Xenopus tropicalis: one gene and its partner. The protein of the gene in region 1 interacts with the protein of each later gene in a pairwise test. Links are inferred from orthologs where the notes say so. Each region holds a gene or a part of one and is shown on either strand. Other genes may lie near its edges. The genes, in order: atpaf2 and pkp4.

Region 1 (16,614 bases):
CTGAAACCAGCAGGGGTACAGATAGAGCCATGGGTGCCTGGGCCACTGAAACCAGCAGGGGTACAGATAGAGCCATGGGTGCCTGGGCCACTGAAACCAACAGGGGTACAGATAGAGCCATGGGTGCCTGGGCAAAACCACAGAAAACCAATAGGTTATATTTAATGTGCATAATGAGCAAGTGCCCCAGATGACTTTATGCCCATCTGTATGACACAGGGGTCCTTATGACTTCTTGTGGGAGAGACAATATTTATATACAAATGCAGTGTGTAAATCACATGGCCATTTCCAGCCAATGTGTGTGCAGGTGGGGGACACTTGCACCGTGCAGCCTCAGTAACAGTGAGATTAATGGTGTATGTAGCCCCTGGGAGCCCGGAGGGAGCCCAGAGTGCAGCTGAGCCGCCCGAGCCCATTCTCTGTGCAGGGAGAGAGCAATAGAAACCCTGGCTCAGCTGAAAGCAAAGGCTGCCCGTGGGCAGAGGCAGGAGCGCCGGCACATTAGGTCACGTTAGGTCACAGCACTGGCAGACTGTTAGGGCTCGGCGACACAAATAAGGGCAAGAGAGAGACAGATAAAGGTGGTACCAGCCCGGCACAATCCCCCCCCTGGCACCCGTATTCTCTCCCCGATTATGCCCTGCGTGGATGCAAATCCCTCCTTGTTTAATTCTTTTGCTGGGCCGAGGGCAGCGATCCAGGAGGGAGTAGGGAGCTCTCCCAGGGTGCCGCTCACACTATATATGCCTATTTATGGCCGGCTACTTCCATAGCCAAATCAGAGGTGAGCGCCGCTAGGAAAGGGGCCCCGTGCCCGACTCTGAGTAAGGGCCAAACACTTAGATTAATAGGAGGCAATGAATTAAAGCAGAGAATATGCCATATGACAGTGGACAACCTAAGCTGAGGGGGGGGGGGGGGGGGGGAGTTGTAAGGGCTGTAAGTTGTACCCGTCGAAAATAAAAGCTTATAGACATTTAGTTTTCGAGATATTAGCAGTTTTAACACTGTGTTATAATGAATATGACACAGTGCCCCATTCTGTTCTTCCCACTGGCTGCAGCCGGCAGAGGAAAGTTCTGGGGATGTCTCTGTGCTCAGAACCGACCAGAGAAATGTCACATGACTCTTCCCCGCTCACTAACTTCACTTGCAGCAGGGAGTGCAGGAACCTGTGTGGGCTGCAGTGTATAGGAGTAGCGGCTGTGCCCAGGCTATGCCACCATTCTGTACCAGCAGGCACATATAATACTCAGTACCAGCAGGCACATATAATACTCAGTACCAGCAGGCAGATATAATACTCAGTACCAGCAGGCAGATATAATACTCTGTACCAGCAGGCACATATAATACTCAGTACCAGCAGGCACATATAATACTCAGTACCAGCAGGCACATATAATACTCAGTACCAGCAGGCACATATAATACTCAGTACCAGCAGGCAGATATAATACTCAGTACCAGCAGGCAGATATAATACTCTGTACCAGCAGGCAGATATAATACTCTGTACCAGCAGGCAGATATAATACTCTGTACCAGCAGGCAGATATAATACTCTGTACCAGCAGGCAGATATAATACTCTGTACCAGCAGGCAGATATAATACTCTCTCACACCGAGCTTTAGTGTAAAATTTACTGAAGCATTTCCCCCCCCCAAACCAACTCCATCCACCAATCACACGCTCTCTAGAACTGCGGCTCCCATATCTACCTCCACAGGAAATGTAGAGAAGAGATTCCTTGCCCTCTCTATACTCTCCCCTGTTACTGTAACCCACAAGGGTGCTACTACTCTCCTGTCCCCCCAAGTAATACCTTCATGGCAGGTTCCCATGACTCTCCTTCCCCCACCTACTCTGCCATACTCTCCCTATTCCTTTCCAGTTAGGGTTCCACCATTGTGCTCACTGTACAAGGGGGAGACTATTGTTGGCGCTCACTGTACAAGGGGGAGACTATTGTTGGCGCTCACTGTACAAGGGGGAGACTATTGCTGGCGCTCACTGTACAAGGGGGAGACTATTGCTGGCGCTCACTGTACAAGGGGGAGACTATTGTTGGCGCTCACTGTACAAGGGGGAGACTATTGTTGGCGCTCACTGTACAAGGGGGAGACTATTGTTGTGCTCACTGTACAAGGGGGAGACTATTACTGGCGCTCACTGTACAAGGGGGAGACTATTGCTGGCGCTCACTGTACAAGGGGGAGACTATTGTTGGCGCTCACTGTACAAGGGGGAGACTATTGTTGGCGCTCACTGTACAAGGGGGAGACTATTGTTGGCGCTCACTGTACAAGGGGGAGACTATTGTTGGCGCTCACTGTACAAGGGGGAGACTATTGTTGGCGCTCACTGTACAAGGGGGAGACTATTGTTGGCGCTCACTGTACAAGGGGGAGACTATTGTTGGCGCTCACTGTACAAGGGGGAGACTATTGTTGGCGCTCACTGTACAAGGGGGAGACTATTGTTGGCGCTCACTTACCCAGCAGCCCTGGCTTCTCTGCTCTCAGTCCCAACATGATTCACAGCAGAACCCTATGACTCTCCTACCCCCTCCCTCCCTCCCTGCCATAACTCACCCCCCTACCTCCCAAGCCAGGGCCCCAGTGCCTACATGTCCTGCTCCGGCCACCCTTCCCTGGCTAGGGGTCCCTCCCATAACCCTTCCTACCCCACTCCCATTGCCCCTCTATTCCCATCATTCTACCCTATCCCTGCTCCTCTCTTGCCCCTTCACCTGCTCTCCCCCAATAAACCTCTTGTTAAACAACCCCCCCCCCCCCCCAGCCCCTCTACCCAGGATTCCCTGCCGCACATCCCCCCCCTGTGCCCACACACACACACACACACACACACACACACTAGCCAGGCTGCAGTCGGCCCCGCCGGGCCTCACCTGAAGCACAACTTCCACATCGTACGAGTTGCCTTTGCTCTTCTGGTGGCCCCGGAACTTGGAGCCGCTGTAGAGGAGGGTGGTGGCCACGCCGGGCTGCTGGGTGTTGATGGGAGGAGGAGGAATAAGAGAGGAGTATCCGGAGGCCGCGCTGTTGGCCTCGGTACGGACCGGCATATCCAGGGCCGAGCCCCTCTCCCGCTGAGGCGGCTCCACACTAGGGCTCGGCCACTTCTCCACTCCCGGCCCGAGCACCTGGGCCTCTCCAGCACCGCGCAGTCCGATTGGCTGAACGAAAGGCCGCCCACCGCGCAGCACCGCCCCCAATTGGCTAAAGCGGTGACTCGGCGCCGCCGGGAAATGTAGTCTAGCTAAAACTGACCAATGGAGACCAAGAAGGGCTCGGATTGGCTGCTTGCCGGACGTGACGACAAAGAACAAGTCAGGGTCACCAAGATGGCTGCGCCCGGGTGAGCAGGCTTTCTGTACATAGGGGCTGGGACTGGCAGCGTGTTCTCTCTGGGTGTAATGAGCGCTGAGCCTTGTGGGAAGCCTTGGGGAGAGACCATTTCACAGCGGCAGAGGGGTGGTCGCTAATAAATATCTACTGATAATCCTTTGCCCCTCGGCAGGTGCTGATGGGAGAGAGTCCTGAGCAGAACCACTGACCCCTCCCTTACTATACCATGCTGCCCAGTCTGCTAGCGATCACTGCCCGGAGGCTGCGTGTATTCCCGGCGGCACTTTGCGCTCAGACGCGTCTCTATGCAGCCGCTGCTACCGGTAAGTGGCACCAGGGAGTGGAAAGGGAGAAAAGGGGATTTGCCAGTGCATTATACTCCTGTAAATATAAAAGCAATATGTCATTAAGGGATATATATATATCATGCTGTGTAAAAAGTGGAGTAAAACATCACCGGTGATGTTGTTTATAGCAGCCAATCAGATGCTTTGGTTTTCTAACTGTTGAAATGTAATTGCTGATTGGTTCCCCAGGGCAACATCACTGGTAATGTTTCACTCCACTTTTTACACAGCATGATAAATATACCCCTAAATATTCCATTTTCTGCTCATTTAAACCCTACTAGTCCCGCCCATGGGTTCCACTTCCAGCCCTACAGGGAACAGTAGCAGATCTAGTATAAACGGAGAGCTGTGATTGGCTGCCTGCCTCCTACTGAGCTTTTGGCAGAGACCATTAGGGCATGGCATTATGGGGGCCCATCAGACACATGGCGACACAAGGATGAGAACTGATTGAATGGGAAAGTGTCTTGGTGGGGGGTAGAAATCCTGCTGAAGAAAGGGGGCATTTTTAAAGCTAACAATAATCCCCCCCCCCCCATTTTTTTAAATTCCACCTCTCCAGTCTATACCATTCCTTTAGCTCTAATGTTACCTATTCCCCCAATTCAGTGTAGCTCCTTCCAAATGTCCTTCTCCAGAGCCCCCACTTATGCTGGACTTTTGTGCCTTCTCTCTTACTGCCCCCTCCGTGTTACTGCCCCCTCCGTGTTACTGCCCCCTCCGTGTTACTGCCCCCTCCGTGTTACTGCCCCCTCCGTGTTACTGCCCCCTCCGTGTTACTGCCCCCTCCGTGTTACTGCCCCCTCCGTGTTACTGCCCCCTCCGTGTTACTGCCCCCTCCGTGTTACTGCCCCCTTGGCCAGCTGCCACATCCGCACCCATTCTCTGCCCTTTAGCAGTGCAGTTGCCCTGAGGGGAAATGTATTACTGCTTGGATAGTGTGGGTATGAACCCAGTAGAATTCTGCATTTGGTACTGAGGCATCAGTCCAATGTCTTACTCTATTATTTATTGATTCAATTATTTTTTTTTTATGTTGCAGAAAGAAAGAAGTTCTATGAAAATGTCAGTATTTCCCATGGAGAAGGTAGGTTTCACACAGTCCTTTCCAGAGCTGCGCGTGTGGCTTTATCTGTATCTTTAAAGCACCCTGTGCGGGTGCTTGTACCCTCCTACAACTGACGCAGATGGCGACACATTCGGCAAACCTTATCCCAGGCTGGTGTTTATTTCACAGTTTTTTAAGTTACCTAAAACATAGCACTATAGCAACCACCATACAGGCCCGGACTGGCAATCTGTGGGTTCCGGCAAATGCCAGAGGGGCTGCTGTGAGATGCCATAGACCAGCGTTTTTCAACCACTGTTCCGCGGCACACTAGTGTGCCGCGAGATGTTGCCTGGTGTGCCGTAGGCAGGGCACCAATGTACTAGGGGGGCACTGCTCTTGGCACCAATGTACTAGGGGGGCACTGCTCTTGGCACCAATGTACTAGGGGGGCACTGCTGCTGGGCACCAATGTACTAGGGGGGCACTGCTGCTGGGCACCAATGTACTAGGGGGGCACTGCTGCTGGGCACCAATGTACTAGGGGGGCACTGCTGCTGGGCACAGAGTTAAATTTTTTAACATTTTCTAATGGTGGTGTGCCTCGTGATTTTTTTCATGAAACAAGTGTGCCTTTGCCCAAAAAAGGTTGAAAAACACTGCCATAGACAGTCACTATTTATTGGGCTGATGGGGGGCCTCTGTGTACTGGAAATACTAGTACCAGTCCAGACCTGCCTCCATACACCAGCATTGGTATAAGCAATATTGGTCAGAAGCAGTGACCCGGTGGCTGCACTTTCCTTCCTGCTTCCCATGCAGCCAGCCATTGGGCCCAATGAACAGATAAGTGCAGTTTGGCCACCCCTGTGTCTAAATAGAAGGGCATTTTGCCCTTGGGTCCGGCCGCATATAAGATGCCTATTCTGACCCCTTTCTTTTTGTAAATAGAAGGTTGAAATCTATAACCTTTAGCTTGTAAATGCAGCTACTGTCTCTTCCCTCCAGGGGGGTTTGAAATTAACCTGGATCGACGGAAGCTCAGGACGCCACAGGGGAAAATATTTACCGCTCCGAGTGAGGCTTTGGCCGTAGCTGTAGCTACAGAGTGGGACTGCCAGCGAGATGTGATCAAGTTCTACACCATGCACCTGGTAAGGATGCCCTTAAACCCCCACCTCTGCCAGCTTGTATTCATCCGCTAACTGTATTGCCTTCTCCCTGCAGACCACACTGTGCAACACGGCCTTGGATAACCCCACGCTAAGAAACAAGGAGCAGCTTATTACGGCAGCTCTGAAGTTTTTGGAGACTGACACAGTCTGGTGAGTGCCATGTATCCAGTTACTTGATCCATAAGCCTCCATTAGGATTAGATTCAATATCCGCTACTTACCTTATCCCCTGGGCTCTTCTGTAGTGACTTAACAAAGAGCCAGCAAATACACCTTCCATTTCCACATCCTTTGAACGGAAGGAGAGCAGCCATGGAACCAGCAGAGGGAGCCGCGATACAAACAAGTCTCCCTGTATAATTACATGCCATTTAGGCAATAAGATATTTGGTTTTGTATTGCAGTTACAGAGTAGAAGAGCCTCCGGGGCTGGTGGAGCTGCAGAGAAACGAGTGGGACCCAGTGATTGAATGGGCAGAAAAGAGGTCAGCTGACTGCAGACTGGGCAGAGCAATGTGTCACATTTCTATAAAGAAAAGCTCTACGTGTATATTCTTCTTCTTTATTCTCTTAATGTACTTTGGCTTTAGATACAACGTTGTGATTGGATCCTCCACAAGCATCCAGGGGCCCATCATACCAACAGAGACCAAAGATGTGTTTAGCCGTCATCTGGCATCCTACAATTCCTGGGGATTATTAGGTAATGGCAGATAAACTATATCCGTGTCACGTGACTCCGTGAGTTAGTGATGGGAGGTGCATCCCTGGGGGGCAGATTGGGGCTGTTCCTTTTGGATTTGGAAATGAAGACAAATGTATTTATACTACAGCAGACAAAGTGGTAATTGGGGTTCTCTGCTGTGCTGGAGGCTCTGGGCTTCTTTAAAGAAGAAATAAAGCATAAGACACTAGCTTGGGGCGGGGGGGATATGCCTATAAATACCATTTTTATATGCTGAAATCCAGCTGCAAAGCAGCTCTTCTCTTTCTGCATCATTTGAAATCCTGGCAGGGGAGGAGGGACTAAAACATTGATGTTACAAATTGTAACAATATCTCCACAGGTTACAGACAGCATGCAGGAACTGCAAAACCCACAATGCATTGCACTGTGATGTTCCTTTCCTTATTGACATCACATGAGCAGGGAATTGTGGGATTTGGAGGCTGCAGGCTGAGGACAGTCGTCTACTGTTACATTTTATTTGAATCTCAAAGTAGCCAGCCAGATCAGCAGGGGAACAGGGGGCGGGGCTTAGGCAACCGTTCCAAAATGTATTACATTACAAATCATGAAAAGGCTGCATATTTTTTAATTGATGTACAGTGGTGTGAAAAACTATTTGCCCCCTTCCTGATTTCTTATTCTTTTGCATGTTTGTCACACTTAAATGTTTCTGCTCATCAAAAACCGTTAACTATTAGTCAAAGATAACATAATTGAACACAAAATGCAGTTTTTAAATGAAGGTTTACGTTATTAAGGGAGAAAAAAAACTCCAAATCTACATGGCCCTGTGTGAAAAAGTGATTGCCCCCCTTGTTAAAAAATAACTTAACTGTGGTTTATCAATTTCAATTTTCAATTTCAATATCAATTTCTGTAGTCACCCCCAGGCCTGATTACTGCCACACCTGTTTCAATCAAGAAATCACTTAAATAGGAGCTACCTGACACAGAGAAGTAGACCAAAAGCACCTCAAAAGCTAGACATCATGCCAAGATCCAAAGAAATTCAGGAACAAATGAGAACAAAAGTAATTGAGATCTATCAGTCTGGTAAAGGTTATAAAGCCATTTCTAAAGCTTTGGGACTCCAGCGAACCACAGTGAGAGCCATTATCCACAAATGGCAAAAACATGGAACAGTGGTGAACCTTCCCAGGAGTGGCCGGCCGACCAAAATTACCCCAAGAGCGCAGAGACAACTCATCCGAGAGGCCACAAAAGACCCCAGGACAACATCTAAAGAACTGCAGGCCTCACTTGCCTCAATTAAGGTCAGTGTTCACGACTCCACCATAAGAAAGAGACTGGGCAAAAACGGCCTGCATGGCAGATTTCCAAGGCGCAAACCACTTTTAAGCAAAAAGAACATTATGGCTCGTCTCAATTTTGCTAAAAAACATCTCAATGATTGCCAAGACTTTTGAGAAAATACCTTGTGGTATTTAAAGTTTAACTAGTTTAAAAGTTGAACTTTTTGGAAGGTGGGTGTCCCGTTACATCTGGCGTAAAAGTAACACAGCATTTCAGAAAAAGAACATCATACCAACAGTAAAATATGGTGGTGGTAGTGTGATGGTCTGGGGTTGTTTTGCTGCTTCAGGACCTGGAAGGCTTGCTGTGATTGATGGAACCATGAATTCTACTGTCTACCAAAAAATCCTGAAGGAGAATGTCCGGCCATCTGTTCGTCAACTCAAGCTGAAGCGATCTTGGGTGCTGCAGCAGGACAATGACCCAAAACACACCAGCAAATCCACCTCTGAATGGCTGAAGAAAAACAAAATGAAGACTTTGGAGTGGCCTAGTCAAAGTCCTGACCTGAATCCTATTGAGATGTTGTGGCATGACCTTAAAAAGGCGGTTCATGCTAGAAAACCCTCAAATAAAGCTGAATTACAACAATTCTGCAAAGATGAGTGGGCCAAAATTCCTCCAGAGCGCTGTAAAAGACTTGTTGCAAGTTATCGCAAACGCTTGATTGCAGTTATTGCTGCTAAGGGTGGCCCAACCAGTTATTAGGTTCAGGGGGCAATTACTTTTTCACACAGGGCCATGCAGGTTTGGATTTTTTTTCTCCCTAAATAATAAAAACCCTCATTTAAAAACTGCATTTTGTGTTTACTTGTGTTATCTTTGACTAATAGTTAAATGTGTTTGATGATCAGAAACATTTTGTGTGACAAACATGCAAAAGAATAAGAAATCAGGAAGGGGGCAAATAGTTTTTCACACCACTGTATATTGCAAAGTGGCTTGAAATGATGTTTACTTTTCAGAAGCTTAAATTGTGTTTGGGTGAAGTTCCCCTTTAAGCTGATTCTCCTTACTTCCCCCCCACCCACCACCATCCAATACAGGTATCGAATTCATCATTTCTCAACTCAAGTCCCTTGTCCTGACTATGGGACTCATTGACCGACATCTGCCAGTGGAGAAAGCGGTTCTGCTGTCCCGTTTAGAAGAAGAGTACCAGGTAACTGCACTGATACGGCACGATCACTCCGAGGTTCTTACTCGCATAGGTGGGGCTCTGTGCTGTATATTCATGAGATGCTGGCTAATAAATAAAGCTTATGATGCACATATGTAATAATCACTCCGGCAGTTCCCGTTAGGCATGAGGTGACAATCAGACGGCGGTGTATTGATGATTAATTCACATATCCACAGCCGGGTGTAAATGATTCAGGTTCCCTTCTCTGCATAGTCCCCGGACAGATGCCTCTGCTTGTTTTAATCCCGTTCTGTTTGGTTCAGATCCAGCGATGGGGGAACGTGGAGTGGGCGCATGATTATGACCTGCAGGAGTTGCGTTCCCGCACAGCCGCTGGGACCCTCTTTGTACATCTGTGTTCTGAAAGCTCTACCATAAAACACAAGCTCCTGCAAGACTGAGCAAGGGGGACTGGATGCTCTTCTGTTCTGGGAAGCCATTGTATCCCACCTGAAACATCTGGACTAGTGAGGGGGAGACAGACGCCTCCTGGGATCGCAATGAGAGCACGATGACCAAGGCGATTGGCTGATTGAAATCCGAAATCTGATGTAGGACCAGGTGTCTTGTCTGGATGAGGATCACGTGCGAGCTCGGGATAAAACTAGTATGTCAGAGATGTCCAACATACATCTACCTTATGAACTACAACTCCCATTATTCCCAAAGAACTTTTGGCTGTTATTGGTTGCTGGAACTTTAAACACCAGAGATGTTGGAATGTCAGTTTTTTTCCACCATGCTTAATGGCAGCTCAGTGTTACCTCTATGGTAGGCATAAAGATTCCAGTCATTTTATGTGTGTTCCTTTTATTTATTGGTTCACGGCTGAGTATTTCAAAGCATTTCAGTCTTTGATTTGCAAGTCAAGGTCACGTGAACTGAGGGGTGGGGCAATTAATCTATACTTGCAACCTTCAAATGCACCAATGAGAACATCACAACGTGGGCTGAATGGCATCCCATGTACTAACTGTCAAGTTTAGGCTGCTGTTGATCCATGTCCCGATCTAAAATCGGAACCTGGGTCATTTTGGGGAGGTGACACAAATACATAACAAAAATAATTAAAAAAAAAAAAGTGGTTTCTGCTCAACTCATGTTATTAGAAATAACTCGAGGTCAAAGAGCAGCTATTGGGTTAGGGTATATTGCTTGGGGAGGGTAGTGCAAAAAGCCCCCCGGCTGTCACTGATATGGTCCAAGGCTGAAGGAAAGGCTCACATCTGTTCATGCAGCTCTAGGTTGTCCAGCTCATCCCGCAAGTGGTCGATGTATGTGGTGATCTCTAAGATTCTATTGCGGTTCCTTTGTATTTCATCTTTTTGGACCTAGCAGAAACCGGAGAGACTGGCGTTTATGGTACAAAGCTAAACCGTATGTACATTGTGTGTATTAAATGGAATCGGACTCACCTTTTGGATGAGGTTGTTAGCCCAGGTGTTCATTTTGGTGACCAGCTCATCCTCACGGTTATCGATTTTCAGTAGGTGGATATCATGGGAGGCACTGACCGCATTAATGACTGTGTCTTTGTCCACAAAGATCTGATGGGAATGTAAAGAGTATAGTCAGACCAACCCATAAAGCAAGATTGATCAAAAATTATACACTTTGCTCTTACCATCCTGATGTCATCTGTGATCTCATCATCCATCTCTCCCTTTAGCACTTTCTCTAGTAAGTTGATGGAAATCTCCAGGAGCTTCTCGTGATGATGATTCTCCAGGTCTCTGACCTGAGCCATTGTATACATAGAGGTTAAGGATTCATGGGACAACAAACCAGTCAGAGGGGAGCTGCTATGTCTGTGAACCTGGCACCCCAACTGAGCTTTGTGGGAAAGGAACACTTAACAGAAAGGAGTGGGGTTTGCACCTAAATTGTACAAACTGACCACATCACCAGAGGCACTGGCAGAGAATAGCTGGGGTATATGTACCTGGGTTTGAATTACAATGGAAGTTGTAACTTTGCCTTTGAGCACACAGTGATAACATAGGGAAGCTGACTGTGGATTCTGGCAAATGCCAGAGGGGCTGCTGTAAGATGCCATAGACAGTCACTATTAAGTGGGCTGGGGGGGGGCTGTTTGGGCCTCTGTGTACTTGAAATTCCAGGGCCTATTTTGAGTCTCAGGCTTGCTGGGTTTGTGTAGCTGGGTTTGCCCTAATATAGGAGGGAAGAGAGCTATGACTTTACATCTAGCATTAAACCAATCAGGGTACACCTACCTGGATCAGCCCTACCATGGGAGCAGATATGTTTGTATACCAGCCCTAAAGCACAGAGTAATGGCACACCCAGAACAGTGTAGATGGGGTACATGTGTATTTACCCCTACCATAAGGCTGATGCCACACGTGGCGTTTTTACGCGGCGTTTTTTCTCAGCCTAAAAACGCTGCACAAGCCACACATGGCGTTTTTCAGCCTAGAACTGGTGACGTAAGCAAATCCCGTTGCCATGGTGCTAATAGTGCGAAATAGCAAAAAACGCCGCGTATTTCCGCTAGGTCTGGCAGCTGCCTTTGCGTATCCATAGGAATAGCTTGCTTTGCAAGTACTGGCGTATTTCAGCCAACGCTTGAAAAATCCGTGCTTAGGCGTTTTCTAGCGTATTTCCGCTTTGTTTGGTTTGCTGCGCGTCTTTTCAAGCTATTTCTATGGATGATGATATCAGGCGTTTTTCAGCCGCCGAGAGAATTAGAAAATACGCAGCGTAAAAACGCCACGTGTGGCATCAGCCTAAGAGGAGTGAGGCTCGCTTGCAGCACAGGCATAAAGCACTAAGGCACAAAGTGAAATGTAGAGCTGTAACTGGCCAAATATGGGAAGCACCCCCCAATCGCATGGTGGAGCTTAGTGTACCATGGGTAGCATATGTGTCATCCTTAGCTGTCACTGATGCATTGTTTTCTAAAAGTTGTATAAGGAAGGAACTAATTTCTGAAAAAGGGGCGGTGTTTATTTCTTTTTTTGCTTCCTGCTCTCATGTATTCAACTGCTGAACCCCAAGGATATAGGCCCTGTACAGTTTCCAGGAATGCAGAAACCATGTCTGACACATTTCTTTCATACTCCTTTATGATTTCCTGAGGGAGAACAGAAGGTGGTCAGTGACAGCGATTCCCATATTACCAAGAGTGGAAGCCAAGGAGGAAGATAGTGGGAGTCATTCGGTACCTCTGTCTGGTCCACCAGCTGCAGTTCCAGGGTCATCAGTGAGTCCAGCAGCTTGTTGATGTCATCAATATACTGTGAGATTTTAAGGTCTAGGAAGTCCTGATTGCTGCTCTGTGAGAGTTCATTTAATATCTGAAAGCAGAGAAATGGGTCTGAATATCTGAATATCAATGGGGGGTTTGTTTGCAACTGGAGAAACTTTGTTCTAGCTGTGCACTCTGCTAAAGAAAAATGTTTTTTTTCCCCCTAACCTCCTCTCCTGAGCTCAGTTTAATCGTTACAGGGCACAAAGTAAGTTCTGCCTGTGTAAGCCTGCATTCTTCATTGCATGAACATTACAGCACACATATGTGCTGGTTGCAGATGTAAATGTCACTGAAGATGAGTGAAAATGGCCACTGGGTGAAAGCTGCTATTTGTTTTAGGAAAATAGGTTGGTGGGTTTGGGTGGGGGTGATGTGCCCAACTTATATAAATTGTAGGTAAATGTAGGGTTTACATGTCTTTTAATGGTGAGTTCCTCAACCTATCTATGTTTCTGGACACAACCAACACTGTCATGCTGTAAGTCACTGACATATTTCCCCTGCTCTCAGTGGCTGATTCCGACATGAGTCAGCACTTCCTGCTACACTGCACTACAAACATGCTTCATGGCTCAGTAAGGAAAGAAGTTCGGTTGAGGAAGCTCACTCATAAACCATTACTATGTTACAACTATAATAAAAAACTGATAAAAAGAATTCGTAAACATCCAGTACAGTGTGGCTACATGTTTGCATCGGAGGAGGCAGCTCACTCCGGTTCCTTTTAGCCTTACTTCTGAGTTCTTTTCAGTGAGTTCCTGGATTTTCTTGGCTCCTTGCTCCTGGTTTTCCCGTATGGCTTCCTGCATACACTCGTTAAACTCGAACGCCTCGGCCTCTCGCTTCTCATGTTGTTTCATGCCGTATTCAAATATATTTTGGCAGATTTCAATACACTTACTCCTGTACGTGAGATTCTGGTTAAGGATTAATTCCGGCCACTGCTATTGGCTATAAGCTGAACTGCATGGCATCAGCAAAGTGGCTGTTTGTTTGTAGTAATTTGGGAAATGACAGTAAATGGGCAAGGTCTATTATATGGTGGATAGTTATGTGCAGGCCGGCCTGACACCTGTGGGTTTACCCACGTGAAGCTTCCCCCTTTTTGCTTTCTGAGCACTCCTACTCTCTCCGACTACCATGATGTCAAAGAGGTGCCTACTGTACATGTCTGATTAATTTTAATTGGAGCAGAGGAAGTAAGTATGCCCAGTAGGCACTTCTTTGAGGGTTCCATAGTCAGAGAGAGAAGAAGGGCTCAGAAACCAAAAGGGGCCAAGCTTCACACTAGACAAGGTCTAAAAGAGCTGCAGTTCAGCTGCTTGTAACAGAGAAACAAAAGACATTGCTGATGGACTTTGTTCTTCTCTGGCATTTAATTGGGCCAGGGCCCATTAGGAGTAGGTCAGGCTGATCTTGGCGGTGATCATATAAAGAACAGCTATGTGTGGCCTATAAATAGATGCTGAATACATACCGCAATTCTTCAACAAATTAAGGATCCTACTGTAATGCAGCAAATGATTGTGCAGCAGTGGATTATGCTCTCAGTAAAGGATATGAGTCCATTAACTCTGCTACTCCAGGAAGGCCGGATAATTTTGTGCCATCAGCATCATCTGCGTACATGCTCTCAAACAGGAAGGGGCCATTCAGATTCTCCACATAAGCAGCCTTAGCAAGAAAAGAAATACAACTGCTTGTCAGCCATTCAGTGCAAGTATAATACATATGTATAATATATATATAATATATAATAAGATTCTAGCTATCGCTGGGGAGGGGGAAGTTAAACGTAAGTGTCATTTTAGTCCACATTTAGCTTTTGTAACCAAAAGCAACCAAGAAATTAGCTCTGGTTGGTTAAATGCAGTAAGATTTAAAATAATCGGTTGCTATGTGTTACTACTCTGGAGTAACAAAATAGGATTCGGATTCGGTTTGGTGTTCGGCCGAAACTTTCACGAAGGATTCGGGTTTTTCCCCAATTCCCAAACCAGTGGATTTGCTGCATCCCTAACATCCACAAGTGCAGTGAGTAAAGTGCAGTTGCCATGTTTTGTTCCCAGAATTGTAGCGTTATTGCAGTCACAAAGGGGCAATGCTCTTGACGCAATTACACTGCACCTACTGCAATTGCACCCCAAAATGAATGCAAGTGTGTGTGTGTGTGTGTTTATTCTCAAACTGGGCACAGTTGCAGCAAATATTTTCAATGTCTGTCTGCTTCATTTCTGGTGTTCGTCATGTGACTGATGTGCACAGCTATTCTTTTGGCACAAGTGAACTGCAACAATGGATGCAGGGCACTGAGGGAATCCTGGAGCTACCGCCTGGTCTGCATCAATAGGCGCAGCAGAACTCAATTGGGCAGGGAACGCAGAAAGGACTGAGCTGCACTGAGCGCAACTATAGGGATTACAAAGAGTGCATTTTGATGCAACTTACAACTGACTGGGGGGGGGGGGCATGGGGGCTGAAACTGCCCTTGTGATCGTACATGAGCCCTATAATGCCATATAAACAAAAAAATGCCTTTCCTTCTCCTTTAAAAGTAGATATGCATCACCCCAGATTTATGCTGATTCCTATTCAGGCCTCCAGTTTCCCCTTTAGTAGGGGCCAGAGAACACACACAGTTTGGGACCTTCTGGATTAGATGGTGGAATGGGAAATGTGGCACTTCAAGTCCTATGGCACATAGGGTATTTTGTGTAATAAATGGTCTGCTAAACAATATTAAAAGGGTCCTCAGAATTCCAAGTATATTTGCAATATACACTGGAAATATACAGTTATTTGTAAATATAACTGCTATGGATAGCAGTTTCTGTCTGTTTCCATTCTCTGCCCTGCTGGCAGCAGAACTGCATTTTCTTTCAATATACAAATGCAGTTTTCAGGTGGGGGTCCCCTTTAATTTGCAGAGCCACAGGACTGAAGTAGTTAAACAGTTGCAAGATGGTCTTTATATGTGTACCTTATGTAAATCCAACTCTCTCTGCTTCTGTTCCTCTTCTTCCTGCTTGCGCTTTTCCTGGTTCTCATTGTGAGTGATATCATCGATGGAGTACTGGTATTTCATTGTGGCCATCTCTCGCTAATGTATAACAGGGAACAGGCAGTTAGTGTGAAATTGGAGTGAACCACAGAAAAATTCTGCCACTCTCTATTCATTCCTATGTGATTTTAGAAGCATATTTATCAAATGGTGAGCTCTAAATTTGGACAACTCACTAACCCCCCAGTAGCAGGAACCTATAGCAACTATGGCTTTTAAACAGGTGACCAGCAAATACAACCTGCTGGTTGTTATGGGTTACTGCTCCTGGGCAAACTTGGTGCCTTTTATTACATATGGGGGTAAGGGTGCTAGTTCTTCTAGCTCAAATAACAACCATAGATCTGATCAATAGGACAACAGCCCAAAACATTTTGCTTACAATATTCTCATTTAGGAGCCTGAAGTCCAGATACGCCAGGTTTGGGAGGTGAGCCGCAATGAACAGTTTGTATTGGTCGTCTTCAGACAGTGGGTTCCCAGCAAGACTTAATGTACGTAACTGCTTGAACTTCCTTAAGTAGATTAGCTAGGAGGCAGGGAAAAGAAAGAACATTGTAAGTGCACTGTACTCATGTTTAATTTGTTAATATTGCTGCTTTCATAGTGCTGAGTAACTCAATGGCTAGCAGTCATCAGGATGATGATGACTTGTTATTGAAACACAACACTGCGGGGAAACACTTCATGGCAAGGTTGGACTGTGGTGTGCAGGGTTCCCAGTGGCTGCTGCCTCAGGCCCCCCCCCAAAAAGGCCCTCACCATGCACCCCCCAGGGGCCCCTGCCATATGCCCAACCCTCCTTTCTCCTGAGCATGCATATATTATACTTATCGTTGGGGCGTTTGGGGGAGATCAGTGGGGAAGCTCATGCAGGATCTTGTCTGGGTTTGTGGGGCCCACAGACCCAGTCCCACCCTGCTTAATGGCCAAATTAGAAATCTAATGAAAGTTTTGTCCGTTTAATTTTTCCTGGAAGAGATGCTAAAAACTCAGAAAGGGTATTTGCAAGCAGTAGGCAGGGCTGTGGGGTTGAATTCATGGAATTGAAGGATTTATGTACCCAAAAAGTTATTGTTCAGACAGCAATTTGAGCAACTTTAATG
Region 2 (15,779 bases), about 58 Mb from region 1:
CTTCATTAAAGCTACTTGTACCAAAGCTGCTCCTTGCACTTCTGCATAGATGTATTTGGTGGCGTTGCGTCAGTCCTACGCGTGGCTTCAAATCATGCACAAGTGAGCCTGTTGGCACCAGGGAACCCTGAAACTATAGCCACTCAAAGGTGAGCGGTCAGTATAGCGAGGCAAATACATGAAAGGCTCTTGGCCCTGCGGTACAACCCCTTGTTCAACATGAGTGCCATGAGTAGTGCCGTATAACTTGCTGTCTCTATATTGATATAAATGATAATGATAATGTGCAGAAGGTGGGCATTCTCCATTTGCTACAAACAGACTGTGCCCTCCTCAGACTTCTCTCAAGGAGAATGATCTCTTGGTGCATGGGAAGTGGCCATTCAGGCTGGGCAGTGCACTGCTCCCTAACCTAGGGGGGGAAAGGGGCACAGATAGAACAAGCACTACTTAGCATTTGAGGGGAGCACAGAAGGCCATGGGGTGCAGAGAGAGATGTTAATGGACCAGGAGGTGAAATGGGTCTCTGTAGAGCCAGTCTAGAAAGAGGGTATAGACTGGGAGAGTATTTTGTGCCCTTTCCATTCTGCGGGCTCTGATTCAATGAAACAATGTTGATGCCAAAGACTCCAGTTCCCACAATGCCTTTCTATACTTTTTCATAGGTGAATGAGCTGGTTCCTGCTAGTTTCAAGAGTAAGAACGGCAGTGAAGAGAACAGAAGACAGTTACGGCAATGACATTTACAAATATTTTTAAACTCAGTAAGATCTTGTAATGATATTTATTGGAAGTTGCTTAGAATGACATTTAGGGGCACATTTACTAATCCACGAACGTCCGAAAAGCGTCCGAATGCGTTTTTTTTTCGCAATGATCGGTATTTTGCGTTTTTTTTTCGTAAATTGACGCGACTTTTTCGTAGCCGTTATGGCTTTTTCGTAGCGTTACGACTTGCGTGAATTGTCGTGACTTTTTTCGTAGCCGTCGTGCCGAGTACGAAAGTTTCAGATTCATTCAAGCTTCAGTATCGTGACTTTTCTTGGGCCGGGTTGGAGCTGCAGAGTGCCATTGAGCCCTATGGGAGACTTTCCTTGGGCCGGGTTGGAGCTGCAGAGTGCCATTGAGCCCTATGGGAGACTTTCCTTGGGCCAGGTTGGAGCTGCAGAGTGCCATTGAGCCCTATGGGAGACTTTCCTTGGGCCGGGTTGGAGCTGCAGAGTGCCATTGAGCCCTATGGGAGACTTTCCTTGGGCCAGGTTGGAGCTGCAGAGTGCCATTGAGCCCTATGGGAGACTTTCCTTGGGCCAGGTTGGAGCTGCAGAGTGCCATTGAGCCCTATGGGAGACTTTCCTTGGGCCGGGTTGGAGCTGCAGAGTGCCATTGAGCCCTATGGGAGACTTTCCTTGGGCCGGGTTGGAGCTGCAGAGTGCCATTGAGCCCTATGGGAGACTTTCCTTGGGCCGGGTTGGAGCTGCAGAGTGCCATTGAGCCCTATGGGAGACTTTCCTTGGGCCGGGTTGGAGCTGCAGAGTGCCATTGAGCCCTATGGGAGACTTTCCTTGGGCCGGGTTGGAGCTGCAGAGTGCCATTGAGCCCTATGGGAGGCTTTCCTTGGGCCGGGTTGGAGCTGCAGAGTGCCATTGAGCCCTATGGGAGACTTTCCTTGGGCCGGGTTGGAGCTGCAGAGTGCCATTGAGCCCTATGGGAGACTTTCCTTGGGCCGGGTTGGAGCTGCAGAGTGCCATTGAGCCCTATGGGAGGCTTTCCTTGGGCCGGGTTGGAGCTGCAGAGTGCCATTGAGCCCTATGGGAGACTTTCCTTGGGCCGGGTTGGAGCTGCAGGGTGCCATTGAGCCCTATGGGAGACTTTCCTTGGGCCGGGTTAGAGCTGCAGAGTGCCATTGAGCCCTATGGGAGACTTTCCTTGGGCCGGGTTAGAGCTGCAGAGTGCCATTGAGCCCTATGGGAGACTTTCCTTGGGCCGGGTTGGAGCTGCAGAGTGCCATTGAGCCCTATGGGAGACTTTCCTTGGGCCGGGTTGGAGCTGCAGAGTGCCATTGAGCCCTATGGGAGACTTTCCTTGGGCCGGGTTGGAGCTGCAGAGTGCCATTGAGCCCTATGGGAGACTTTCCTTGGGCCGGGTTGGAGCTGCAGAGTGCCATTGAGCCCTATGGGAGACTTTCCTTGGGCCGGGTTGGAGCTGCAGAGTGCCATTGAGCCCTATGGGAGACTTTCCTTGGGCCGGGTTGGAGCTGCAGAGTGCCATTGAGCCCTATGGGAGACTTTCCTTGGGCCGGGTTGGAGCTGCAGAGTGCCATTGAGCCCTATGGGAGACTTTCCTTGGGCCGGGTTGGAGCTGCAGAGTGCCATTGAGCCCTATGGGAGACTTTCCTTGGGCCGGGTTGGAGCTGCAGAGTGCCATTGAGCCCTATGGGAGACTTTCCTTGGGCCGGGTTGGAGCTGCAGAGTGCCATTGAGCCCTATGGGAGACTTTCCTTGGGCCGGGTTGGAGCTGCAGAGTGCCATTGAGCCCTATGGGAGACTTTCCTTGGGCCAGGTTGGAGCTGCAGAGTGCCACTGAGCCCTATGGGAGACTTTCCTTGGGCCGGGTTGGAGCTGCAGAGTGCTATTGAGCCCTATGGGAGACTTTCCTTGGGCCAGGTTGGAGCTGCAGAGTGCCATTGAGACCTATGGGAGACTTTCCTTGGGCCGGGTTGGAGCTGCAGAGTGCCATTGAGCCCTATGGGAGACTTTCCTTGGGCCGGGTTGGAGCTGCAGAGTGCCATTGAGCCCTATGGGAGACTTTCCTTGGGCCGGGTTGGAGCTGCAGAGTGCCATTGAGACCTATGGGAGACTTTCCTTGGGCCGGGTTGGAGCTGCAGAGTGCCATTGAGCCCTATGGGAGACTTTCCTTGGGCCAGGTTGGAGCTGCAGAGTGCCATTGAGACCTATGGGAGACTTTCCTTGGGCCAGGTTGGAGCTGCAGAGTGCCATTGAGCCCTATGGGAGACTTTCCTTGGGCCGGGTTGGAGCTGCAGAGTGCCACTGAGCCCTATGGGAGACTTTCCTTGGGCCGGGTTGGAGCTGCAGAGTGCCATTGAGTCCTATGGGAGACTTTCCTTGGGCCAGGTTGGAGCTGCAGAGTGCCATTGAGTCCTATGGGAGACTTTCCTTGGGCCAGGTTGGAGCTGCAGAGTGCCATGGAGCCCTATGGGAGACTTTCCTTGGGCCGGGTTGGAGCTGCAGAGTGCCATTGAGCCCTATGGGAGACTTTCCTTGGGCCGGGTTGGAGCTGCAGAGTGCCATTGAGCCCTATGGGAGACTTTCCTTGGGCCAGGTTGGAGCTGCAGAGTGCCATTGAGCCCTATGGGAGACTTTCCTTGGGCCGGGTTGGAGCTGCAGAGTGCCATTGAGTCCTATGGGAGGCTTCCAAAATCATGCAAAGTCTGAAAGTTTTGGCCGCCATTTACGAGCGCTCAATATGAAAAAGTCACGACAATATACGAGCAAATCGTAACAGCTACGAAAAAGTCACGACAATTCGCACAAGTCATAACGGCTACGAAAAAGTCGCGACAATTTACAAAAAAGTCGTAACGGCAACGGAAAAATCGCAAAAATACGAAAAAGTCGCAAAATGTTCGTTTCCAATCCGAAATTTTCCCATTCGGATTCGTGGATTAGTAAATGTGCCCCTTAGCCTCTTTAAGGTTACTAATGACTTCTGATCGCTAAAGTATATCTGATATATATATATATATATAAAATGTTCAGTGCACACTACACATCAATCCATAATCATGTGATTATCCAATCAGTGACTTTCAAAGTGAATTTGAATACTTCCTGTAGAGAAAAAGAAACCTTTTTGTAACTCTATATATCAACAAAATATATACAATTTGGTCACAATATTAGTTATTAGTTATATTAGTTATTTTATATATTATATTGTTATTAGTTACTACAAAAAGGTTTCTTTTCTCTACAGGATTTTTAAACAGTGGATTTTAAAAGGACAGTGTATTATGAGCTTTTAAGGTACATCTAATGGATAAAATTGGAATTGCACATTTATATATTTCAATGCACTATTTGTACTATTTATGATTATATTAGTAATTACAACTACACTATGGATATAATTGTATGTATTGTGATTATTGAAATATGATGTAAAAAAGGTTTTAGGAAGGCTGAATAGACAAGGTATAATATTTATGCTTATAAAGTGGTAAAAGAAGTACTGAATTCAAATTTTGAATTCACCTTTGAAAGTCACATTGGAAGTCACTGATTGGATAATCATATGATTTTGGATTGATGTGTAGTGGGCATTGATTTGTATGTTTGTATATAAAGTTTGTTGAAACAACATTGTAAAAATAAAAGTCACATTTTTTATAGAGTGTGCCAGTTTAATATAAGTTTTTATATATTTGTTGTAACTGTACACCCCGGCATGATTTTTGCATTTGAGTGCAGACACTCAAATTCTATATATATATAACATGAAAAATAGGGCACACACCAAAAAACTCCATTAATGCCTGGGTGCCAGGTATGGAGAACAATGTATAATCAAGGAATTGACACAGCACAACGTCGATTTTGCTCTGAGGAAGAGCACAGTTGGTGCTCGAAACATCGGATCTTTTTCATTAAATACTTTGTCTTTTTGCAAAGTCCCTGTGTGTGCGGCTCTCTGTTTCTTTATATATATATATATATATATATATATATATATATATATGTGGTCTGATTAGAATGGCCATATTTAACTGGGGACACATGCATATTTTGAGCATATATTGATGCTATTGGCACATTGTTTGGATTTAATCATGTTAATAATAAGGATCCTGAATTTCTTTGTTACTCCCTGCTGTTATACGCTCCCTGTATAACAGCATGTACTGTGTGGCTTTTACCTGTAGCTCGCCCCTGAGGTACTGTGTGGCTTTTCCCTGTAGCTCTCCCCTGTGGTACTGTGTGGCTTTTCCCTGTAGCTCGCCCCTGCGGTACTGTGTGGCTTTTAATTGTAGCTCGCCCCTGAGGTACTGTGTGGCTTTTCCCTGTAGCTCTCCCCTGTGGTACTGTGTGGCTTTTCCCTGTAGCTCGCCCCTGTGGTACTGTGTGGCTTTTCCCTGTAGCTCTCCCCTGTGGTACTGTGTGGCTTTTCCCTGTAGCTCGCCCCTGTGGTACTGTGTGGCTTTTCCCTGTAGCTCTCCCCTGCAGTACTGTGTGGCTTTTACCTGTAGCTCGCCCCTGCGGTACTGTGTGGCTTTTACCTGTAGCTCGCCCCTGCGGTACTGTGTGGCTTTTACCTGTAGCTCGCCCCTGAGGTACTGTGTGGCTTTTCCCTGTAGCTCTCCCCTGTGGTACTGTGTGGCTTTTCCCTGTAGCTCGCCCCTGCGGTACTGTGTGGCTTTTACCTGTAGCTCGCCCCTGCGGTACTGTGTGGCTTTTCCCTGTAGCTCTCCCCTGTGGTACTGTGTGGCTTTTCCCTGTAGCTCGCCCCTGCGGTACTGTGTGGCTTTTCCCTGTAGCTCGCCCCTGCGGTACTGTGTGGCTTTTCCCTGTAGCTCGCCCCTGCGGTACTGTGTGGCTTTTCCCTGTAGCTCGCCCCTGCGGTACTGTGTGGCTTTTCCCTGTAGCTCGCCCCTGCGGTACTGTGTGGCTTTTCCCTGTAGCTCACCCCTGTGGATATTAAATCACTGTTCCCCAAATATATCAATTGCCCCATCTAGTGGTACAACATAGGGCTGCTGCTTTGCGGAATTTTCAGTTTTGATAGAATGGGACAATATATAGAAACTGCCATTCCTCTATATCATATTAAGATATTATTTAGATTTTTTGCACTTCTGTAGAAATAAATTGTATTACAAAGAGACCCCCATAAAATGGTAAAAAGGCTGTGGCTTGTAAGAGCGCACCATGCAGTTAATTTTCATGAAACTCAGCACTACGCCATCTTGTGGTTACTGACAGAGTTGTTGCTGCTGCAAAATTTTCATGGTCATCACATAGCAGCGGCCATTCTAGCACATAAATAGAATGTATTTCGATGTGTAACTATCCATACAGTGTACATTGGTTTTACATATACTGATGAGAATGCCTGCCCTAAACTGCTGAGCCCCAGCGTGTATATATATATATAACCTAACTGAATGCCTATGGGATGAACTAGATAGAAGACCAAAAAGATCCAGGCCTCAAGCCCAACATCAGACGTGCCCCAACTCTTACCTGTGAATGAAAGCAAATCCCACTACATTTCAATATCAAACAGAAAGCCTTCCTAGAAAAGCAAATGGCCAACTTCATATTAGTACCATTGGTTTTGGACCAAAAAGTTTGGCAGTCAGGTGTCCATGTACTTTTGGAGGAGGAGTTGGCCTAGAGGTTAAGCCTTTGATGTGAGTGAAATCTGGGAAAAAGGCGAAAGTGGTGCCATGCAGACCACGCCCACTGTGGGAGACATGCCCCAGTAAACCACTCCCCATTTTAGAGAAACACCCTCAGAAAATATATAAATATTTAAATGACTGCAGTGGCAATTCCATGTATAAAACCCCTAGAACTCATTGCAGAATGACACAGAGGCAATTCCATGTATAATACCCCCAGAACTCATAGCAGGATGACACAGAGGCAATTCCATGTATAATACCCCCAGAACTCATAGCAGGATGACACAGAGGCAATTCCGTGTATAATACCCCCAGAACTCATAGCAGGATGACACAGAGGCAATTCCGTGTATAATACCCCCAGAACTCATAGCAGGGTGACACAGAGGCAATTCCATGTATAATACCCCCAGAACTCATAGCAGGATGACACAGAGGCAATTCCATGTATTATACTGCCAGATGTGGACGCTTCACGTGACAATTCTCTTAGGGGACCGAAGCCCTGACACAAGGCCTGTTCCTGTGGGCCAAGGATGGATGGTAAGCTTATGCTAGAGATCCTGATCAATCTCCTGGTGTTCCAGCATACTTAGTGCACCTATAGTGGCACCCCAGGAGAAAATACCCTTAGAGCCCATTCTGCCTATTCATTGTATTAATCCGTACCTTATAGTGCTGCATCATTTCCCCAACTGGACACCGGTCTATTAGCATGACTGGCCATAACCTCTTATAGTTACCCTTCCACAGGCCACTGATAATACCCACAGCATACCTTTTCCACTGCTATTACCCAAGGCACAATATATACTGCAAAGCACTAACCACAGGACAGAAGACTAAGGGTGGCCATACACGTAGCAATGACCATTGGTCAGACGAAAGGTCGTTCCCACCCTCCACTGACGTTCAGGGCTGAATTGTCAGATATGGAGGTAGAAACAATAGAAATTCTGCCTCCTTCTGCCGATTCAGCACTGAACGTAGATTTTGCTTGGGCTCCTTCAATGGCACCCAATCAAAATCTTTTAACCTGGCCGATTGACAAGTCGACCGATATCTGCAGCCTTCTGCGATATTGGTCACCTCGTTGAGCCACCATACATGCACCGAATATTGTATGAAATTAGGTTTTGTACAATATCATTGGTGCGTGTATGGCCAGCTTTAGAGAAGCATATATCAATTTACATGAAGTGTAATACATTTTTGTGCCATGCTATTAGAACGCTTAAACTGCAGGTTAGGTGCTTATTATGGAATGTACCATTTGCCCAACTGGTACCCAGCAATCACAGTTCTACAATAAAGTGAACGCAGACAAACGTAGACAATAACCGACTTTCTGTGGATGTTCCACATTTATTTTTGTCGTTTTGTGTGCATAGAAAATGGCAGTGAGACGTATGAAAGAGGCAGGGAATGGAAAAAAAGTGTAGATTAAGTTATAGCGGAGATGGCAAACTCCCGGCACTGAATGTGGCAGGAACCACAGCTCGTTCATCTGCAGCGCCGGGAATCCGCCGTCCCCGTTTTGAAATGACGCTATTTAAAAATGTTATTCCTTATTTAGCATTATAATATCTCATATTTCTGCTTTTCCAATGATTCAAAATGACACAGCAATACAAATGATGGCACTTCCAACCGTTATGGCAATACTGTATTTACATAGGGGGGAGTTTCATTTACAAGACAGAATAGCATACAATCCGGACACTGAGCAAGGAAGGAAAGAAAGCATTCGTTTCAACCATCTCCGTCTGTACAAACTTCTCAGCGAGACTTTTATTCACATTTATAATAATAATAAAAAAAAAAATCTAAAAGATTGACCTACACCTCTTCCCCCCGCCAATCACGTCTCTCCGCCGCAGACCTTTTATCACATAGCTTGCACCATCACCAAACTACAGAGCTAGGAGTATTAAGAGCTACAATCTAGACAGCAAAAAAATAGATATCCCTCGTCAGTTTGATTCTCCTGTTCATGATAAGCCCTCTGAAATTGTAAGAAAATATATTCTCTTCCGTCGTCCTTCTCTGAATTTCACTTTCAGTTTCCACCACCAAAAAAAAAAAAAAAAAAAAAAAAAATACAAAAATAATAATAAAAAAACAAAACAGCAAATAAGGCCATTCAAAAAATCAGATCAAGCATGATTATTAGTATAGAGTTCATGGAAACGCCTCCTTAGTGGTCCTACACCCACGAGTCCGGCGACCCCGGGTACGGTTCTGATCTATAGGAAGGTCTTCTAGTGGAGTAAAAGTCTACATAGTTTGTGGTCGATTTGAGTCCATATTGCGCATTCTGATCTGCAGTCGTCGTGTAGTGGACGCGCTCGTCAAAATACGGGTCTTCGTAGCTGTGTGGAGACTGCAAATACAATCGGTATGCATCATAGTTTTTCCTATTTGAGTCTTCAAGACTATAGTACAGCTGGTGATGCTAATGACAAACGGAACAGTTACTTTATTAGACTCATGCTGAACACATTATCCTTCTCACATAGCTATATCTGTGCTATGGCATTCCCAAATATCATTATACAGTTGGGATGTGTAGTAATGAGCCCAGTTTCTACTGTATCCCACAGCAACCAATCAGCAGTTAGCTTCTACTGCTATAGGGCAGCTATAACAATGAAAGCAAACATCTAATTGGCTGCAGTGCATAACTGTGCCTGGACATGGTGCCCAGACTCCCTTTTGCTCAATCCTTGATGTCACAAACCCCCCACTTATTAATTGTAAGAGCTAATACTATTATATATAAATATTCCTAAGCTGGGCTTAAACAAAGGGAACAATATTTTATAAAAAAAAAAAAAAAATCTTAAACTCTCAAGAAATGATGCAAAGTTACAATAGCAAAGTGTATGTATGTATTGATATGAGGATTTTTTTTTTTTTTTAAACTTTGTTGTCTCTTGGCAACCGCTGATGGTGGGCTCAGTGGGTTCCTGACTGATGTGACCGTCACTTTGTGTTTCTGAAGCAGCTCAACTGCCAGAATGTTTGGGGCCCTAATAAGACGACTTCTGGTTGGGCCAATACTAATAACTCACCTGCTGCCGCCTGTTTTGCTCTCGTGCTGGTGAGGAATAGGAGCTGATGTAGATTGGAGATGCTTTGCTGGACCCTATGAAAATAACAGTTTTAGTCTGTGGGTGATTTACTTTTTTCTGAACAAAGAAACAATGTAATCACTCCCATAACTCCCAAGTACAAAGGGTTATAAGTCTCTCTGTGGGTTTCCTCCCATGTAAAAAGGAAATTATACTGATGCCGCCCTTGAAATCAAGTATTTAGTGTTGGGTTTACTGCTGAGTGATAAAGCATAGAATCACTGCTGAGAGTTACTGCATTTAATAGTAATGTTTTCCTATTTACCACCAGTAGAGGGCGCTGCTATTACTGTCAGAGGACTGTCCAGGTTAATATCAGCCAAACCAGAAAAGCCCCCCGCGCTTAAACTTACACACGCAGCGACGCAATGCTGCGTAGGGACAATCTTATTCAAACAAATGTTTGTATCTGAAGACAATCGGGGGAATGTAATAAAAGTCAGAATGTGCATTGCAAACTTTTTAAGGCATGCTTGAAGGTGGCGGAATCTGTTGGAGGAAAGGTAACTTTTCCATTAAGAAGTTTTATTACATACACTGCGCACTAACACTAAAATTCGCAAACTTTCTTCCACTGTTGGAAGTGGTCGCTAAACAGTTTCCCCATTCACACATATTTAGTTGCATACAGGCATACGTTTTCACATTGCGAATAATTTTTCCACACCAACTTTATTACTTTCTCCCCAATGTGCAGTACTTCAAATATAAAGGAGTTACAAATATGATTTCTATTACTTTTTTGGAAGTTTTTCTTGTTATTTAGTAGAATGTATTTCAATCTACATTCTTCCAGCCCTAGGATTCTAGCTGTCCATACAGGGAAGATTAGGCTTTATCTGAATGGTGGATGTTAGCTTTCCATCCCTTGGGCCAAATGATCAAATTAAAGTGGTGGGTATATGGATTGTCGGACTGGGGACTGCATCAATGAGCTAACGGGGTCCCTGATTGAATGGAAAAATCAAATCTGCCCAATCAAGATCTGGCCAATTTTAGGCCATATATTGGTCGGGTAGGTCCATCGGGCGTGCCCGATGAGCTGATGCGCCTGCTGTATTGGTGTATAGGCACTTGTCCATGTGTAGCTCTGACGCGACTAACTGCGTGGGACACGGATCCTGTTCAGGTTGAGAGGTCTGGGATGTAGGTTCTGCAGTGGAGCAGAGACAAACTAGATCTACTTCCCTTTACTGTACATGTATGGGACGTGTGTACATGTATGGGACGTGTGTACATGTATGGGACGTGTGTACATGTATGGGACGTGTGTACATGTATGGGACGTGTGTACATGCATGGGACGTGTGTACATGCATGGGACGTGTGTACATGCATGGGACGTGTGTACATGCATGGGACGTGTGTATATTTAAGGTATTGCGCATCATGGCTGCTGTGAGAGAGACATTTGCACGTACCAGTGAACATTTCCTTCTGAGAGATGGGGTCTCCCTGGCTGTTATAGTATTGCATAGAGGGTTGTGTTCTCTCATAACCAGAGTGAGGTTCCCGTATTCCTAACAGTGCTGGTGAAGAGGAGGTGCTGCCCACTGTGTCACAATGGAAGAGATGAAAGTTATTATAGAGGAATCAGTAACTGAGAATAAACAAATTATTTATAGCAACACCTGCAGTACATAAAGGCATTAGCATTCAGACTTTGTAGCTTCCTATTTGGGTTTAACACTAGGCACGTCCTTCCCCCTCATCACTTATAATAACTATTAAGCTTTAAATTAAATGTTCCCCCTTTAGAATAATTTGGACTTTGGGTTCTTGATGATCGTAGGTATAGTCCCAAACCTTGATCTAAATGGTGACTTTGGTTTCCAAAGTTGTGTTGCCCCTCTGAGATTGTTAGGCTTTCCCTGGCAATCTGCCTGCAATGACTATTAAAACCAGATACTGACATCTGAAATCAAACCTTTTTTACATCGATCATAACACTGTCTTTGCAGGCAATTTATAATTTAGCCTTAAAAATATTTGCCCAATGCTTTTACATTCCCTATCGGATCCCCCATGTTGCTCTTTTAAGCAAAAATTACTTAAAGAAACAGCCCAATCAGCGGAAAATGATCAATATGACCTATAGGGAACTTTTAATGCACATTAATATTTTAAAGAGTAGTTTTTTAGTGTCAGTATCACTTTAAAGGAGCTCTTTACCTTAATGAATTAACTTTTTGTATGTTGTAGAAAGTGCTATTCTGAAACAATTCAGTTTTTATTTGTCGTCGTTGAATTATTTTGTTTTATATGGTTGCAAGGGTCCAAATTACCCTAGCAACCAGGCAGCGCTTTGAATGAGAAACTGGAATATGAATAGGTCTGACTAGCAAGATAAGTACTTAAAAGTAATACCAATAAAATTGTAGCCATTTAATACCCCCTATACATATACTCCCCGCATAGGAATTGCTTGTACCCGAGTGTTTCATATAGATTTTATTTTGGATGCTACTGGGAGAGTCACCTTCTCATTCTGGGAGACTGCCAGCTTACTCAGTAGCACTGCTTACTGGCACAGCCTGGGGCTTCATCCTCCCCTTGCTACAAAAGGAACCTTTACAGCAATAGACCGTTGTATATATTTTTCATGCTGAGTACATTTCTGCATATTCAGCTGAGAAAAATACAAATAGCAAAATATGAAAAAGTTTAGGAATAAGGAAGAGAAAAGGAAACCCCATAGATGGGAGTGAATTGTGTAGAACTACATATCTAAACATGGCTTCTTCTGTTTGCTTTCAAACTCCCTGCCAAGCACTTTCATGGCAAAAAGCAGATGCTGACGGAGCCAGAATCAGATAATCCTGCGAGATTCCAACATAAATAACAAGAACTGTACTATCTTCTGTGACAGATTGGCCCTTTTTGGCTTGTCCCCATATACCCGGCCCTGCTGAGAGCAACACTGACCTGACTGGATCATGGGAGACATCTGCTGATTGGTGGTAGATAAGGACGGGTGAGACTTGAAGCGCTCACGCTCTAGTGTTGATACTGGAGTGATAAAATGAGACTGATTCCAGCCGTCCTAGAAAAGAAAGGAAAACTATATATAGTATATCACCGTGAACATCTGTGCACAGTGCCTTTAACTGCTGCAGCCATCTTTTTCTCTCCAACTCTCCAAGTTCTGTAATGGCTGGATACTCTCCGTACTCACCAACCTCGAGTGATGGGAAACAGCATGTGTTAGGGTGAAGACACATGGAGCTACTAGTAGCAGCTATACTTGTCGCGGCTACTAAAATAGACAGTGCTGATCATTTACTGATAACTGTCTCTCTGTGTGTTTAAGCAGAGGCAATTCTCTGTATTGTCTATGGCAAGGTATTTTCTGGTGTTTAGTAGCTGTGACAAATAGCTGCTTCTAAGTAGCTCTGTGTGTCTTCACCCTTATACATCCAACCAGCAGTTGGCTGAAGACAATAGGAGTGGCAGATCAAGTGGGATACTAAAAATACCCCTGAGAATACATATGCCCCTATATTAAGGTGGCTACACAATAACCGTAATGGAATGCTTCAATAACCATCTGAATTAGGGTGTCAATTGTGAAACTTCTTCACATGATGCTGAACTATATCTTTCAGCATTGCAATTGTGAGGCAAAGCCTGCAGGATTCCCTTCTCTGTTATATTTGCTATTTTGGCCCCATTGCAAATCAACTGCCCATGTAGTCCCATTGGCCTATTCCTTAGCTATCAATACAAACAATACAGCACAATGAGATAAAAGAAGATCCCAGGCCCATTCTAACAGTTTTACCTTCTTATAAATGCTACGGAGGTCTCGATATTGCCATAATGTGTTTAGGACTTGGGCAGCAGCTTTGACCACTTTCAACGAAGATCTAAGGAAAATCAAAAACACTGTTAATTATGACCAATGCATTTCAATAGAACAGCTGGAAGGATAAAACTCTTGTTTGAGATGAGCCCCAGCACAAGGAAGGAGGGAAAATGGCAACACATGAAATGAATGTATAGCTCCATAAACCTGTAGCACCGAGATCCTCACATCTGCTCTTCTGCATAATAAACCCCTTAGTGTATACAGTTTATATAATAGGTCATGTTGATTGTTTTTTGCAGATGGATCTTATATTTTAAGTAAATGTTACATGAAGTTTCTAAACTAGTGCCAACCTGACCGCCCCCTCATAGGGGAACATAGGGGATCTGATTGGGAATGTAAAAGCATTAGGAAGTATTTTTTTGGTGAAATTATAAAGCTCATGTAATATACAATGTTATATTAATTAGCTTAATAATAATCAGGTGTCTGTATCTGTAAGCACTGTAATGTTTCAGCTCAGCCCCTAGGGGTACTGTTTTGTCATCTACAATGTCAAGTATAATTCCCCTGAACTGTATTTTCCCCTTTTGGCCGGCCAACCCTGCCTCCCCCAGTGCAACTAATCAGCAAGTTTGTGCAGAACTCCCCTGATAATTACATAGGAATAGGATGTGGTGCCAGTGCAACGACAGAGAGAGAGAAGCACTGGAATTGCGTTTGGATAAAATCTGCTCATGAGCGTAATCCAATTTTCATAAAGAACATGGCAATTCTTTGTCTCCTTGGTCCTGCTGTGAAAGCAAATGGCCAGAGGTTTTCTAATGAAGGCAGCCCATGAATTAATGAACGGATGGCCGTAAGAGCCAATGACATAATCCATGCTCTTTATGCTTCTCCACGAGGAGCTCAGAGGCCCTGCTCATTTGTGCTGAATGTCACGCAAGCGAAGGAACTCCAGATACGGCTAATTAATGGCGCTGGGTTAGGCAGGCTGTGGGGGGAGACTTATCACAGGACTCTAGGAGAATATCCCTTGCTCTAGTCTAGATGAAGACTCATTAGTCGCAATCCCTAAACCTGAATAATATGGGTGAAGGAGTACTTGCCTGTCTCCCTTTCCTTTTGTGATATTCACCAGCTTCTCAATCCCTCCGGTGTCGGCCAGCGCTTTCGCATTCTCCATGTTCTTGCTTGTAACCTCGTGCAATGCACAACAGATTGCAGCCACTGTGTCGTCAGATAAAACGCACGGCCCGTTACCTCCGGGAAGTCTGTTTACTAAGTCACGCATCGCGTATTTACCTGGGAAGGGGGGAAAGAAGCTATTTGCCATAAATGAAAACTACAACGCTAAGAAACAGCTGAAGTTAATATGGAATTAGTTCCATTTGATTTTTTGCCTTAAAAGATGGACCAATCAGAAGTTAGCCTTTACTGGCTGAAAATTCTCTGCAGACTGAGAAAATGATGCCAAAATCTCTACACACTTTCCTGACAGTGTTGAACTGGGTCTCCTAGGACCCGCTAGGGAACCTGACACTGCAGTCCCACTAACAGCAACTGGATATAGACAGGGCCAAATGGTACCCAAAACAGGTTGATGGTAATTGCCCTAGGCAGAGGACCAGCAGGGGCTAGGCTGACCAGGAGATCCTCTGGTAGGCAAATCTGACCCTGACTCCCAATATTATGTCCAGGTAAAATACACAGAAATGGCAGCCCCACATCATTTTCTTATTTAATTATACTAGTAAACCTGCCAGCCCATGGCTTTTTGGCTGTTGCTGATCTACAACTTTCAGCTGCTCTTCCACTACTATATGTGGGGCCCATGACCCTCAACCCTTACTGTATGTGGGGCCCATGACCCTCAACCCTTACTGTATGTGGGGCCCATGACCCTCAACCCTTACTGTATGTGGGGCCCATGACCCTCAACCCTTACTGTATGTGGGGCCCATGACCCTCAACCCTTACTGTATGTGGGGCCCATGACCCTCAACCCTTACTGTATGTGGGGCCCATGACCCTCAACCCTTACTGTATGTGGGGCCCATGACCCTCAACCCTTACTGTATGTGGGGCCCATGACCCTCAACCCTTACTGTATGTGGGCCCATGACCCTCAACCCTTACTGTATGTGGGGCCCATGACCCTCAACCCTTACTGTATGTGGGGCCCATGACCCTCAACCCTTACTGTATGCGGGGCCCATGATCCTCAACCCTTACTGTATGCAAGGCCCATGACCCTCAACCCTTACTGTATGCAAGGCCCATGACCCTCAACCCTTACTGTATGCGGGGCCCGTGACCCTCAACCCTTACTGTATGCGGGGCCCGTGACCCTCAACCCTTACTATATGCTGGGCCCGTGACCCTCAACCCTTACTATATGCTGGGCCCGTGACCC

Evidence for each region.
Region 2: the proteins of atpaf2 (region 1) and pkp4 interact in binary tests that used the Homo sapiens proteins (3 or more experiments, as listed by UniProt). The two-hybrid records come from large-scale screens. The link is inferred for Xenopus tropicalis from reciprocal best matches to the Homo sapiens genes ATPAF2 and PKP4.

The regions. Positions count from the first base shown.
Region 1 is NC_030685.2:15,291,144-15,307,757, forward strand, and holds atpaf2 (ATP synthase mitochondrial F1 complex assembly factor 2 precursor), read left to right. Parts: upstream 1-3,418; 5' UTR 3,419-3,602; coding exon 3,603-3,699; intron 3,700-4,768; coding exon 4,769-4,813; intron 4,814-5,782; coding exon 5,783-5,928; intron 5,929-6,001; coding exon 6,002-6,099; intron 6,100-6,353; coding exon 6,354-6,434; intron 6,435-6,539; coding exon 6,540-6,652; intron 6,653-9,039; coding exon 9,040-9,155; intron 9,156-9,439; coding exon 9,440-9,577; 3' UTR 9,578-9,974; downstream 9,975-16,614. Other genes in the region: gid4 (glucose-induced degradation protein 4 homolog), read right to left, coding at 2,917-3,093. UniProt on the Homo sapiens protein: Plays a role in the assembly of the F1 component of the mitochondrial ATP synthase (ATPase).
Region 2 is NC_030685.2:73,498,256-73,514,034, forward strand, and holds the end of pkp4 (plakophilin-4), read right to left. Parts: intron 14,669-15,779; coding exon 14,473-14,668; intron 13,422-14,472; coding exon 13,337-13,421; intron 12,599-13,336; coding exon 12,481-12,598; intron 11,109-12,480; coding exon 10,977-11,108; intron 9,570-10,976; coding exon 9,496-9,569; intron 8,877-9,495; coding exon of another isoform or gene 8,805-8,876; coding exon 8,628-8,804; 3' UTR 8,184-8,627; downstream 1-8,183. UniProt on the Homo sapiens protein: Plays a role as a regulator of Rho activity during cytokinesis. May play a role in junctional plaques.